Kluyveromyces lactis: one gene and its partners. The protein of the gene in region 3 interacts with the protein of the main gene of each other region in a biochemical or structural test. Links are inferred from orthologs where the notes say so. Each region holds a gene or a part of one and is shown on either strand. Other genes may lie near its edges.

Region 1 (3,559 bases), on a different chromosome or scaffold from region 3:
GCTCTTATACTGTTCAAACTCGGGATGAGCTTGGACACTCTTGTGCAACGACTCATAAGTATTACCTTCACCCCAGTACTCATAAATGGCTCTTGTAAGCACCGATCTCCTAATCCAATCACTGGCTTGCTTATCATTTTCCAAGGTAACTATCATGAATGGTGAATCGACAGAATAACTCGAAAAGTCGACATCAACTCCATGCAGATCCGCTAGTGATTCCAATTCTGCTAGACGGAAATTTAAGTGCACCTGCACCATAAACAAAAGATACCGCTTCCTAGCCATAGATGATGGTTATAACTGGCGTTTGTATTAATTCTAAATCCGGAAGTACGAAAAGTGATTAACTGAGAAGTCGCACTTTCGATTAAAGAGGATCTCATCTCATCGCAGCTCATCTCGATATTTCGCTTTCTCTGCATGTTTAGCTGAAGTCGGCGTTGAATGAGTAAAGAAAGGTATATAGGATTTCATTACCCGGTGTTTCTGATTGTTTGGGCGCAGTTTTGGGACGAGTTGTCAAAAAGTTTCTTTTTTTGCAAGGCGAAATCGACAAAATGACAACCAAAAAGGCCCTAAAGCATGAATTTTTCACTAAGAACAGCGAATAATTTTTGGGGCCAAGTTGTTGCCATTGGAAAAAAAAAAAAATTAATTTGAATATAAAAGCAGTACAGGAGAAAAATTGAAGGGGCAGAATGTTTCTTCCTGTTTGTTTACCACTTTCCAGGTGATTAGACAGTCTAAAGAGATAATCAAGTCACTAAAACGAGTTAGGGAAGGATATAGGATTCAAAAGTATAGAAGTACCCGTATATCATTAGCGAATCGAAATAATCAACGGAACAAAGAATATTTACACTGTATTTTTTCTTTTTCTTTTCATTTATAAGATACCGATTGTTTTCAATAGAGTTTTAGAAATTGCAAACTAGGAGAGAGGAACCATTGTTACCGGAAATAGCTCATATTTGTTTTATTTTCGTACTGTATTAGATCTCAGTTATTACTTTATTATCGTCTACTACTACTTTTAACGTATAACATTAAACTTTGCTGTGTGTTGCTGTGTTTAAGCTATAAAATCCCCATACAGACAAAAAGAACAAGGATCATTTAAGTAGAGCGGAAGAGGAACGGCGCAGGAAACTTACACAGCGTTATCGTACTTATATTTACAAACGTTTACTGCAGATTTATCATATTTAGTGTACAGAACTAAGAAAATCCAAGTGGTAAAGTGAACGGTGCAACAAGTAGACGAATAAGAAGAAATTGAAATATTGCATTCAAGATGAGTTTATCAGACGATGAAGATTTTAACGACATCTACGGTGATGAAAATACCGCTCAAACCACGGTGAACAATAACGAGTCGACTTCATCAACTGCAACATCTACAGATAATCAAAATAATACTCAAAGTAATAATAATCAAAATAACGTTAGTAATAGCTCGACAGATGATCACAAAGATCAAGCTTCAACTACCAATAAAGAGGCTAATAGTAGTAGCACAAACACCACCGCGGCAACATCTCAATTAGATCAACTAGCAGCTTTACAGGCTTTGTCATCTAACCTGTCACAACTGCAACAGCAGGTTGCCTCTTCAAATAATCAACCAGATTCTAATCTTGCATCCAATAATGACAAGGCTGAAAACAATAACAAGGAAAACTACAGTGCTTCCGTTCCTGAAATGCTGCAGATGCCTCAAATGCCACAGATGCCAGGTATGCCAGATATGTCACAGTTGCAACAATTGCAACAGACTATGTCTCAATTGCAACAAACTGCATCTCAGCATGAACCAAAGGCTATCAAAGCTGATTTGTCTCGTGACATTAACAAGATGTTCATTGGTGGTCTAAATTGGGAAACCACCGAAGAGGGTTTACGTGATTACTTCAGCAAATACGGTGCAGTCGCTGAAGTTAAGATTATGAAGGACACTGCTACCGGTAGGTCCAGAGGTTTTGGGTTCTTGACATTTGAAAACGCTTCTAGTGTCGATGAAGTCGTTAAAACACAACATATCTTAGACGGTAAGGTTATCGATCCAAAGAGAGCCATTCCAAGGGAAGAACAAGATAAGACTGGTAAAATTTTCGTTGGTGGTATTGGTCCAGACGTCAGACCAAAAGAATTTGAAGAATTTTTCTCTCAATGGGGATCCATCATTGATGCCCAACTAATGTTAGACAAAGATACTGGTAGATCTAGAGGCTTTGGTTTCATTACTTATGATACACCAGATGCAGTTGACAGAGTTTGTCAAAACAAATTTATTGAGTTCAAGGGTAAACAAATAGAAATCAAGAGAGCTGAACCTAGACAATTACAAAAGCAAAAACAACCTCAAATGACTCAACCAATGGGACAAAATATGAGCAACCCAATGCAACAGTATCAGATGTTCCAAAATCCAATGATGGCAGGCGGTTTCAATCCTATGATGGCCACTGGTTTCAACCCTCAATCGATGAACGAATACTACACTAAGATGCAAGAGTATTATCAACAAATGCAACAACAAACTGGTATCGATTATACTCAAATGTTCCAACAGCAAATGCAACAAATGCAACAGATGATGGGTATGATGGGCGGTCTTCCTGCAGGCCAACAACCTTCTCAAAGTGGTGCAGGATCTCCACCAAGCCATTCATCCACCCCTCAACACAACGACGACAGTAATGGTGTCACTACTATTGGGAGCTCAAATAATGGCAACCGTAGTAACAGTGGAGTAGAATCTGGAGATGACTCAAGATACGATAATTCATCAAGCCGTGATGATTCTCGTCGTTCAGGACACAGAGCATACGATCGCAACTCTGATCGTAGCAGTTATGGCTCGTCTAACCGCGACCGTGACAGCTGTCGTGGCCCATCTTCAAACTATCGCGGAGGTGGTGGCCGTGATCGTGATTCCCGCCGTGGTGGTAATGGGTATGGCGGTGGAAGCAGAGATAGACGTGGATACCACCCATACGCCAGGTAATCTGCTTGTATGTTAGATTTATTATAAGGTAAAGAAATCTGCGTATGTAGCCGCGAGCAAGAGGATACTTTGTGTTACTTGTTATATTTGCGATCCATCCATTTCTTTAACTGAGCCTCTCATAACCATGTAATAATAGAAATATAATGAAAGCAATGATTCCTAAGCATCGGATCAAATCACATTCCTTGCTGCAAATGTCACACAATATTTTACCATACTCTGTTTACCTGATTCATGAACGTTAACACGAAGCATCAACGCAATTTTATTCAACTTTTATTGCTAATCAAAGCTTAATTTTATATAATAACATGTAAATCAGTATATATCAATCAAACTTACAGTTTATCAACTACTATTCAACCTGACATTGGACCTCACACCGAATGGTCAGTGTGTGTATATACAGTTGTCAGTATTCATGTATATTTGGTACAGGTTAGGTTGCTTCTCAATCTGATTTTGAATATAGGCAAAAGTGAAAAAATATCAAAATCAATTCCAATTTGACATATACTAGCATTCACAATTACACATGCTCATAGG
Region 2 (2,979 bases), about 540 kb from region 3:
ATGATCATCACTACTTCTTCCTTACTCTGGAAGACCTCTTTTCTAGTCGCAAAGATAAATAATAAAACAATACAATAATAATCCACTATAAAAACATAATCATTTTTTCCTTCTCCTCACGATCCTTGATGTTCTGTTCGGATCCACAAGTAAAAAGATTTTTTCCTGATGATGGGAGGTTTTTCCTATACTAATATTTAATTTTTTTTTTTATTCTCAATCCATCAAGGTTGATACCTTCAATTCATTCCCAACAATTGTGAGTAAATTCAAATTCCAAGTAAAGTTCAGAGGTTTCTTGGTGTAACGACAAAGTATGAAAACAACGGGCGAAAACAAGAGCTTATAACTCCCTAAGATAGTAAGCATAATAATTCTGTTAAAAGTGACAAAAGAAAGCTAATACCAACTCCGATGATAATGGTAGGGACACACGGTTTGATGCTTGAAGTAATTTCACAACATTCTTAGATGAAAGCTATTTGTGCACTCCAGAAATCCTCTAATCTCTAACTGGAGATCTTTCACGCGCTTGGTAGCCTTCTCCGCTGCCTCTTTGGTAGTCTTCTCTTGGTGCGTAGTCTCTGTTACCGTAACCGCCACGGCCACCGTAACCACCGCCACGACCACCAAAGTCACCGTAACCGCCTCTTGGACCACCGTAGCCACCACGGCCACCACGGAAACCGCCTCTTGGACCACCGAAGCCACCGCGACCGCCAAAGCCACCTCTTGGACCGCCAAAGCCACCGCGACCGCCGAAACCGCCACGGCCACCAAAGCCACCTCTTGGACCACCGAAGCCTCCACGGCCGCCGAAACCACCGCGACCGCCGAAACCACCACGGCCACCAAAGCCACCGCGACCGAAACCGCCACGGCCTCTAAAACCACCACGACCACGAGAGGATCTGATTGGTGGTGGGTTTTCATCTTTTTCAACAGCCAAAACTGAACCACGGAATTCGATGTTGTTCAACTTTTCAATGGCTTCCTGCAGGATCTCTTCGGTTGGGAATTCAAGAGCACCAGTACCGTCAAAGTCTCTGGTGTTGACACTGGAGAAAGTAGTTTCTAACTGGTTATCTCTGGCCAAATCCTTCAATTCTTGCCAAGCACAGCCTTCTGGCAAGTTTCTGATAATGACTCTGAATCTTGGCTTTAACTTCTTGGAAAATACAACTTCCAATGGGTAGTCGGCAAACATTTTACCGGCAACGTTTTGAATAGCTTGGGAAGCAGACTCAGCTTCTTCAAACTCAACAAAAGCGAACCCATTTAAAATCTTTATTTCCTTCAAAGCACCGAAAGGTTCGAAAATTTCCTTCATTTCAGCATCAGTGACATCTGGAGGGAAAGGCTTCACAAATAGTCTGGTATCAGAAAGCTCTTCATCGTCATCAACTCTATTATTGAAATTTTCATAACTTTGAGGTGGTGGAGCAGTTTCATATGGCTTTTCATATGGCTTTTCATATGGCTTTTCATAGGTTTCTTCTTCGACAGCTGGAGGAGGAGGAACGTCAGACATCTTGATATTTCGCGAGTAAGTGTTCTTGGTTGTACCTTGAGCAAAAGAAGTGAAACACTAATATCTTAGTCAAAAACAATACTGCAACGCCACTCAACGATGATGGAGTAGAATTTTTTTTCCAAAAACCAGGTTTTAAATATGTCTTTATATATAGGAGAAAGTGAAAATTTTAAATGAACATCGGGAAAAGAAAAGACAGAAGAGAATAGTGTCAAACAAGGTTTGGTAGGTAGGGTAAAACTCTGGAATCCTCGGTACAAGTCTTTTTAGAATGAGTGCTGATAAGTATCGCATGCACAGATATAAGCCCTCATACAAGTCATACTCCTACCAAATACGATCTGAGAGGCTATATTGATCAAATGCTCTCATTGCTACTTGTATTTACCATTGTTATACAGAAAGGTAAGAGTGACACATGTATCACGTGACTTGAACTTCAGTTTTTCATTTTTTTAACTCGTCAGAAGTGAGACCGTAGTTCATAGCTGTTTTTCTTCGATAGTATGGAATCCTGGAGGAAAGATACTAGAGCATGCCAAAGGTCTCTTAACATATTGATAAGTCAATTTAGCGAATTTATCTCAGAGGCAAGAAACGAAAAGCCAAGCGAACTAGCAGTTTAGAGGGGATATTTCCGATATTTTGACCGTTCGTTTTCTCTTTGCATTTCTTTTATCTATTTATTCGCAATAAATCGTTATAGAATCGTTGACGACAGTAATCATTGATTAATATACCAAGATCGAAAAAACTGGGTTTGAAATATAAGCGAAGGAATATTGAATCTAAATCCAGGTGGAGAATTCTTGCATTATAAAATACCATGTTTCAAATTCGTAACTATGCCACAAAATATGCACAGTCTCGGGCGCTGAGGAAGTACCCAGTAGGTGGCGTTTTTCACGGATATGAAGTGAAACGATTACTTCCTGTCCCTGAACTAAAGCTAACAGCCGTGGATTTATTGCATAACCAAACCGGTTCACAACATTTACATATTGATAGAGATGATAACAACAACGTGTTCAGTATCGGATTCAAAACCAATCCCCCGGATTCAACTGGTGTGCCACATATTTTGGAACACACAACTCTTTGCGGTTCTCATAAGTATCCTGTTCGCGATCCGTTCTTCAAGATGTTAAACAGATCGTTGGCAAACTTCATGAACGCTATGACTGGTCATGACTATACTTTTTACCCGTTTGCTACCACTAATGAGACGGATTTTGCTAATCTAAGAGACGTTTACCTTGATGCAACTCTAAATCCATTGTTGAATCAGCAAGATTTCCTACAAGAAGGTTGGAGGCTTGAACACACTAAGGTTGATGATCCAAACAGCGATATAGGTTTCAAAGGTGTTGTATACAATGAAATGAAGGGTCAAGTATCCAATGCTAACTATTATTTCTGGATTAAGTTTCAAGAAAGCTATTATC
Region 3 (2,834 bases):
CTAGTCTGAAATATATTTTTTTGTATTCAATTGCTACTTCTTCCCAATCCCAAAACAATCTTGTTGTGAGAGAGCTTGAGCTCTGCTTATAGACTAAAATTAGTTTCTACGTATATATCTCTATGTAGCGTCTCTCAAATCATTCATTGTTTTAGCGAGCGTTGTCTTTTTCTTATTGCAAGAGGCGGAGTGAACATTTGTCTATAATGCTTATCAAATTTGCAAAATATAATACATAGAGAATTATATAATCTTGAAGCCTAAGCAGGAAATAATTGGGTGTGGTTGCTAAGTACTGTTACAAACTGCTTGGAATTGCGAGAGGGGCTTTCATTTCCTTTTTATTTTATCTTTGTTTCTTAATGTTAATGATAATAGTGAAGTTCACAATGGAATCGAAGGCATTGAAAGGTTGAAAGAGCTGCATTCCTTCAGAATTAACCAAGTAATAAACATAATCTGAAGGTGATCTGAGCCTCAATGGGAATAGTAAACGAATAGTTTACGTAAAAAGGGCCCCAAATAATGGACTGAGTAAGAAAAACAACATAGCTACTATTTTAATGCATCAAGTAAGTGTTGGTACCCTTTCTTGACCTTTCTTTACCGTCTGGACCAGAGGCCTTGAAATTGTACACGATCTTGATATCCAAATCTCTGTTGTTATCTTTGTTTGGTAAACAGGTCAATTCACCTTCTAGGATATCATTAGCTTCACATTCCAAATCGTCTTCCAAATAGAAGACGGTTTGTTTCCAATGGGTGTATGTAGCATGGGCACCAGTGGAGAAAGTGACAGGTTTGTTACCCTTTGGTGCTGGGAATTCAATATCGAACCATGAAATCAACCCATTAATGAAATCTTGTCTCTTTGCCTGCAATTTAAACTTGCTGTGGAATGCCAAATCTGGGATAGTCACTGTATTAAGATCAAATTCGATTAATTTACATTTGGTAGTATTAACAGAACTGTTTTCCACTGTATCGACCAAAGGTTCTCTTTTCACCAATGGGATAAATGGTGAGTAATCGAACCCATAAACGTCTTGCCAAAAGTTCAGCTTTTCGCCCTTATACTTAGAATCTTCAAGACCAGCAATGTGAATGGAACACTTGTCAGGGAAGATCAACCCACCTTCGACCAAGTAGTTATCACGTGCATACAACACGGTATCCAACATGGATTCGTATAATAAGAAGTAACCCATCCATTCGGAAATAATGATATCAACCTTCTTATAAGGCAACACAACGTCTTCCAATTTACCACGTAACAAAGTGATCTTGTCTGAAAGACCATTCAATTCAACAATTTGCTTAGCCATTTCAATAATACTAGACATATCAACACCAATGACATGCTTAGCACCGTTCTTTGCAGCAAACATAGATAGAATACCAGTACCGCATCCAACATCTAGGACAACCTTACCTTTAAAGAAGTCCTTATTTTGGGCTATAGCGTTACGGTACGAAAGCGTACGCACAGTATCTTGCAACATCTCTTCATGAATACCGAAATGGTCATAAGAGGTGAAATAGTGTTGTTCATACTCGTTCAATTCTTTTTTCTGCGTAGCAGAATCAGTGACATCAGTCTTGGACATCCTTTATTTTATTAGCTTTACAATTAGGAAAGATATGCTCAACAATTAGACTAAAGATGAAACACAAGTCTTGGTATATGTATGGTGACAAATATTATATCCCAATAAGCTGTACACTATACTCAATGCAATCAAACCAATAACCGTTCTAACAAGTTGGTTCCAGATCAAGTACTGTTCTGTTACTTATGCCTCGTTGCCTTAAATACAAAACTGAAAAATTTTTGAAGGCGATGAGCTGCAAGAAAAAGAAATCCAAAAAGAAATCGTGCATTCCCCATAGTGAAAGTGAGGTAAAGCTAGTTAGTTGCATTTGGAACGGTTGCATCAGCAATATCACCAGCAATGATATCTACAGAATTGCAATGAAAGGTGCAGAATTCGGCGAAAAAAGCTGCCTTGCTATATCTTCTGCAGATATCCTTGTTGTATAAGTCTTTCGACGTCGGATTGTCTGACGAAAAATTGGGAATCTTTAATCAGGTTGAATACACCGTACTCTGTTTCTATTTGTCCTGCATCTTTCAATACTCGTACGTCGATGAACACATCGCTCGGCGGTTGTAACATCCCAGTCAAATCGATTTCTGAGAGTTCTCCCGATTTCAATTCGGTAAGTAGTTGTGCATACTCTTTGAGATACTCTTGTTCTGCATGTGATAAAACAGAGGAATCAAACGATGATAGATTCGGGTGGTTTGATATGGCAGAAGAAAATTCCATCCCGTTGTTATCCCAAACCATTGAGTCTAGCATCTCACTTCTCATCTTTTGGTATGCTAATAGACATCTTTTGTTTCTTTCCATCGAAAGCATAGCAACGACGTACTGGCATTGAGCGACTTTGTTATCCTGATCAGTAAGCTGCTGTTCTCGTAGGTAATCCACGTTCTTCTTGAGGGATCCAACCTCTTTCAGGATGCCACGGACTAGCTCGTCTTGATATACTGGTAATTGCTGTTTGTTGAATCCAGCTTGAGATAACTGTTGCGTTCTCTTTGCTTCTAGTATCAACTTGTTAGCGAGATCTCCGTACATTTTCGGTACTATGGCAATGATAATCAAAACCAATGACTTGAATCCAGTTCCAGGTCTTTTAGCACGTTCTTTTCCCTCTGTGTTATCTCTGTAAAAGTTGTTCATAGCTTTTCTCTTCTCTAGATTGAAATCGCTTTGAGGAAAACACGTAAAATTTAAGGACTTTAACGTGAAACGATACTGTTTAGA
Region 4 (3,195 bases), on a different chromosome or scaffold from region 3:
TTTTCAGTTTGTGTGTGCGTGTATGTGTGGCTCTCAAATTGTCCATATCTTTTGAGGTGGGTTACGACTGTCATACGAGTGTATTAAGGGATTCTGTAATGCAGTCAATTGTCTTGAAACTTGTCTTCTCTTTTTTCTACACCTTTAAAACAAGATTCAAAGATGAAGCTTAATTTTACAAAATGCACAGATTCGAGACTCTTTTCCATAGACCTTCTTCGCAGACTTCTAGTTCAAAAAATATTAAAAGCTACTATACACACATATACAAATGATTTAAAGAAAATAAAATAAGAAAATAGAAGATGAATGCGATTCAGTGAAGTTTACAATGAATCAGTTGTTGATCTATAGATACAAATAAGATGACGAATGGTTATTCTTGTGATTTAATTTTTTTTTATTTTTATTTTTTGACACTCTATTGTTTCAATGGATGAGAAATGATCTTCTTTATTCCCAAGAGCATGTTAGGATGATAATGAAAAGTGTTTTCGACTTTGAGGAATGAACTTTGTTTAACTCTTGTGTATTAAGTATTCAAAAATTCAATCGAAGGTCTTTTTGGTACCTTGGAAGGAAGCAGTTTGTCTGGTAGCTCCTAGAGGAGAAGCGTTAGAACCGGAACTGAATTCTCTACCTCCTCTGTTACCACCGAAGCCACCTCTACCGCCTCTGCTGCCGCCTCTACCGCCTCTTCCACCTCTGTCAGAACCACCTCTGTTAAAACCACCACGTTGGTTGTTGCCGAAGTTTTGCTTTGGAATGGAGTAGTCTAATCTGACTGGTCTGTTATTAATGTATTCACCTTGTAGACCTTCAAAGGCTTTAGTGGCATCTTCAATACTACCGTATTGAACGTAACCGAAACCCTTTGGTTGTTCAGTTTCTGGGTGAGTTGGGATACGAACAGAAACAATTTCACCATATTTACCAAAGATCTCGTACAAGTTGTCTCTGTCAGCTTCGAAAGACAAATTACCCAAGAACAAAGTGTCAGATGGTTCAGATGGAACGTCGCCGAACTTCTTTGCTCTGTCGTCTCTTGGAGCACCAGCTGGCTTCGAGGTAGACATATCACAGTTGATTGGTCTTCCGTCAATTTCCTTACCGTGCATTTCCTTGATAGCTTTTTCAGCGTAGGATTTGTCTTCAAAATCGACATAACCATAACCACGGGATCTGTCAGTACCTCTTTCGTACATAACTCTGGCACTAATGACACCACCGATTGGTTCAAATTCGGTCTTTAACCATTCATCGTCAATGGACCATGATAGTCTACCAACGAAAATAGTAGCTGGTTCACCAGCCAATTCAGTCTTTGGCTTTTTGCTTTCAGATTTCTCTTCGTCATCATCAGCCTTACGCTTGTTAGAGCTTTTTTCCTCTTCTTCATCGTCATCAGATGAAGAGTCAGAATCAGATGAAGAATCAGAATCAGATGAAGAAGCGGAAGATTCTTCCTTCTTCTTTTCCTCCTTCTTTTCTTCTTCTTCGTCAGAATCAGAGTCGGAGTCTGAGGAGGAGTCGGAAGAAGAGTCAGAATCGGAGGATTCTTCTTTCTTAGCTTCTTCCTTTTCAGATTCGGAATCAGAATCAGAAGAGGATTCGGAATCAGAGGAAGATTCTTCCTTCTTAGTTTCCTTCTTTGGTTCTTCTTCTTCGTCAGAAGAGTCAGAAGAGTCAGAAGAGGAAGAAGAATCGGAATCAGAAGAGGAATCAGAGCTAGAATCAGAGCTAGAATCAGAGCTAGAATCAGAGCTGGAATCGGAGCTAGATTCTGGTTCAACAGCCTTCACCTTCTTTTCATCTTGCTTCTTTTTTAGCTTTAGGTCCTTCTTGGAAACCTTCTTGGAAACCTTCTTGTCAGTTGATTTACCCATTATGTGAATTGTATGTTTGAGCGATGATATTATTCTGTACTCTGTTAATAGATAATCAACAAGACTCGATGCTACAAGAATTGCGTTTCAAAATAGCGTTATATCAATAAATGTTAGTTAATGAAGAAGTGTTACTGAGCAGGTATAACTTATCTTCTCTTATAACAAACTTCTTTTTCCAATGCGATGAGCTGAAGAGTACAGAGACAATAATTTTTCACTTAAATCGTTTCTTTTCCGTTTTTGTTTGGGTTTTTTTCACTGAAAAAACTTTTCATCACATTTTTTATTGAAAAGAAATTACCATGAAAATTCGTGATAATTTGGTGCGAGGTATGGGTTCTTTTAATTTCTGGCGCGCGACTGCGTTCTCTCCAAGGTTGTATTCCTCTGATCCGATGGCAGTTGATGAAATGTCAACTGTGAATAATCAGTGATGAATAGATGAAGAAAACCTACAAAGCAGATATTCATGACATATAGTTATTAAATTATAGTGAAAATGGTTTTAAATTACGAGAGAGTATTGATGTTAGTTTGTAATCTATTAAAAAGTACATAAAGGTATACGTCACAAAATACACTTTATAATTGTCCTCAATAATTTCTTAGTTCATTGCCCAATATACTTATAGAAAAAAACCGAGAGACTTTTATAATCGATAGTGCACCCACCTTGTGTTGAAAGAACATGGGAAAAAATATTTAGGGTCAAAGGATTTGCTTCCTTTAAGTAAAACAGGAGAAATAGAGATGCAGATATATCAGTGTTTAAATTAATGTTTGTGTCAAAATTGAAGGTAAGAATGAACTTGAAATGGTTAGTGTTGGGTTAGAGCTTTAAATACGATGAGATTGATGCCCGATAATAATTTCTCAATTGTATTTATTCTTCGCAATAAACTCAGAGTAGAGAGATTAATCCCAGAAATACTCCAAATATTGTTGAAGATCTTGCGTTTATGGAAGAAGCAACACCTTGAAATATTGAAATCGAAGAAACTGCTCCAAAGCTTACCGTAGAAGAACTTTGTTCTGTGTCTGTTTTTGGTGCTTGAGAGGTAAAAGATTCCAATGAAGGTTCCATAGGTTCCGTAGTTTCATTTGGTGCTGATGATGGTGAAGAGTTTGATGGTGAAGTTGAAGTTGTTAGATCAGTGACTGGAACAGTGACTGTACTTGTAACAGTCGTACAGCGTGTTCCATAACAGTTCTCTGATGTGATGGTAGTTTCTGAAAGTGGTGTGGAATAGATCTCTGTTGTTTCGGTGGTACCTGATTCAGTACTTGCCTCAACATTTGTTTCAAT

Evidence for each region.
Region 1: of the proteins of HMT1 (region 3) and HRP1, one has a biochemical effect on the other in vitro, tested with the Saccharomyces cerevisiae proteins (4 studies listed by BioGRID). The link is inferred for Kluyveromyces lactis from reciprocal best matches to the Saccharomyces cerevisiae genes HMT1 and HRP1.
Region 2: of the proteins of HMT1 (region 3) and NPL3, one has a biochemical effect on the other in vitro, tested with the Saccharomyces cerevisiae proteins (12 studies listed by BioGRID, with this or other methods). The link is inferred for Kluyveromyces lactis from reciprocal best matches to the Saccharomyces cerevisiae genes HMT1 and NPL3.
Region 4: of the proteins of HMT1 (region 3) and NSR1, one has a biochemical effect on the other in vitro, tested with the Saccharomyces cerevisiae proteins (2 studies listed by BioGRID). The link is inferred for Kluyveromyces lactis from reciprocal best matches to the Saccharomyces cerevisiae genes HMT1 and NSR1.

Annotation. Positions count from the first base shown.
Region 1 is NC_006039.1:1,093,277-1,096,835, forward strand, and holds HRP1 (Hrp1p), read left to right. Parts: upstream 1-1,297; coding exon 1,298-3,010; downstream 3,011-3,559. Other genes in the region: TRM11 (tRNA (guanine-N2-)-methyltransferase), read right to left, coding at 1-288. UniProt on the Saccharomyces cerevisiae protein: RNA-binding protein, which is involved in the polyadenylation-dependent pre-mRNA 3'-end formation and cooperates with the cleavage factor CFIA complex and the cleavage and polyadenylation factor (CPF) complex.
Region 2 is NC_006038.1:75,991-78,969, reverse strand, and holds NPL3 (mRNA-binding protein NPL3), read right to left. Parts: upstream 1,532-2,979; coding exon 503-1,531; downstream 1-502. Other genes in the region: CYM1 (pitrilysin family metalloprotease), read left to right, coding at 2,361-2,979. UniProt on the Saccharomyces cerevisiae protein: Involved in mRNA processing and export. Required for efficient splicing of a large set of pre-mRNAs by efficient co-transcriptional recruitment of the splicing machinery. Remains associated with the mRNP during early steps of translation elongation.
Region 3 is NC_006038.1:617,141-619,974, reverse strand, and holds HMT1 (protein-arginine omega-N methyltransferase HMT1), read right to left. Parts: upstream 1,608-2,834; coding exon 561-1,607; downstream 1-560. Other genes in the region: DNA replication protein PSF1, read right to left, coding at 2,010-2,645. UniProt on the Saccharomyces cerevisiae protein: S-adenosyl-L-methionine-dependent protein-arginine N-methyltransferase that catalyzes both the mono- and asymmetric (type I) dimethylation of the guanidino nitrogens of arginine residues in a variety of RNA-binding proteins such as heterogeneous nuclear ribonucleoproteins (hnRNPs) and small nuclear ribonucleoproteins (snRNPs).
Region 4 is NC_006039.1:990,284-993,478, forward strand, and holds NSR1 (Nsr1p), read right to left. Parts: upstream 1,887-3,195; coding exon 549-1,886; downstream 1-548. Other genes in the region: KLLA0_C11517g (gag-pol fusion protein), read right to left, coding at 2,791-3,195. UniProt on the Saccharomyces cerevisiae protein: Involved in pre-rRNA processing. Specifically binds nuclear localization sequences. Candidate for a receptor at the nucleus that may be involved in both RNA and protein transport. Binds telomeric sequences of the type (TG[1-3])n in vitro.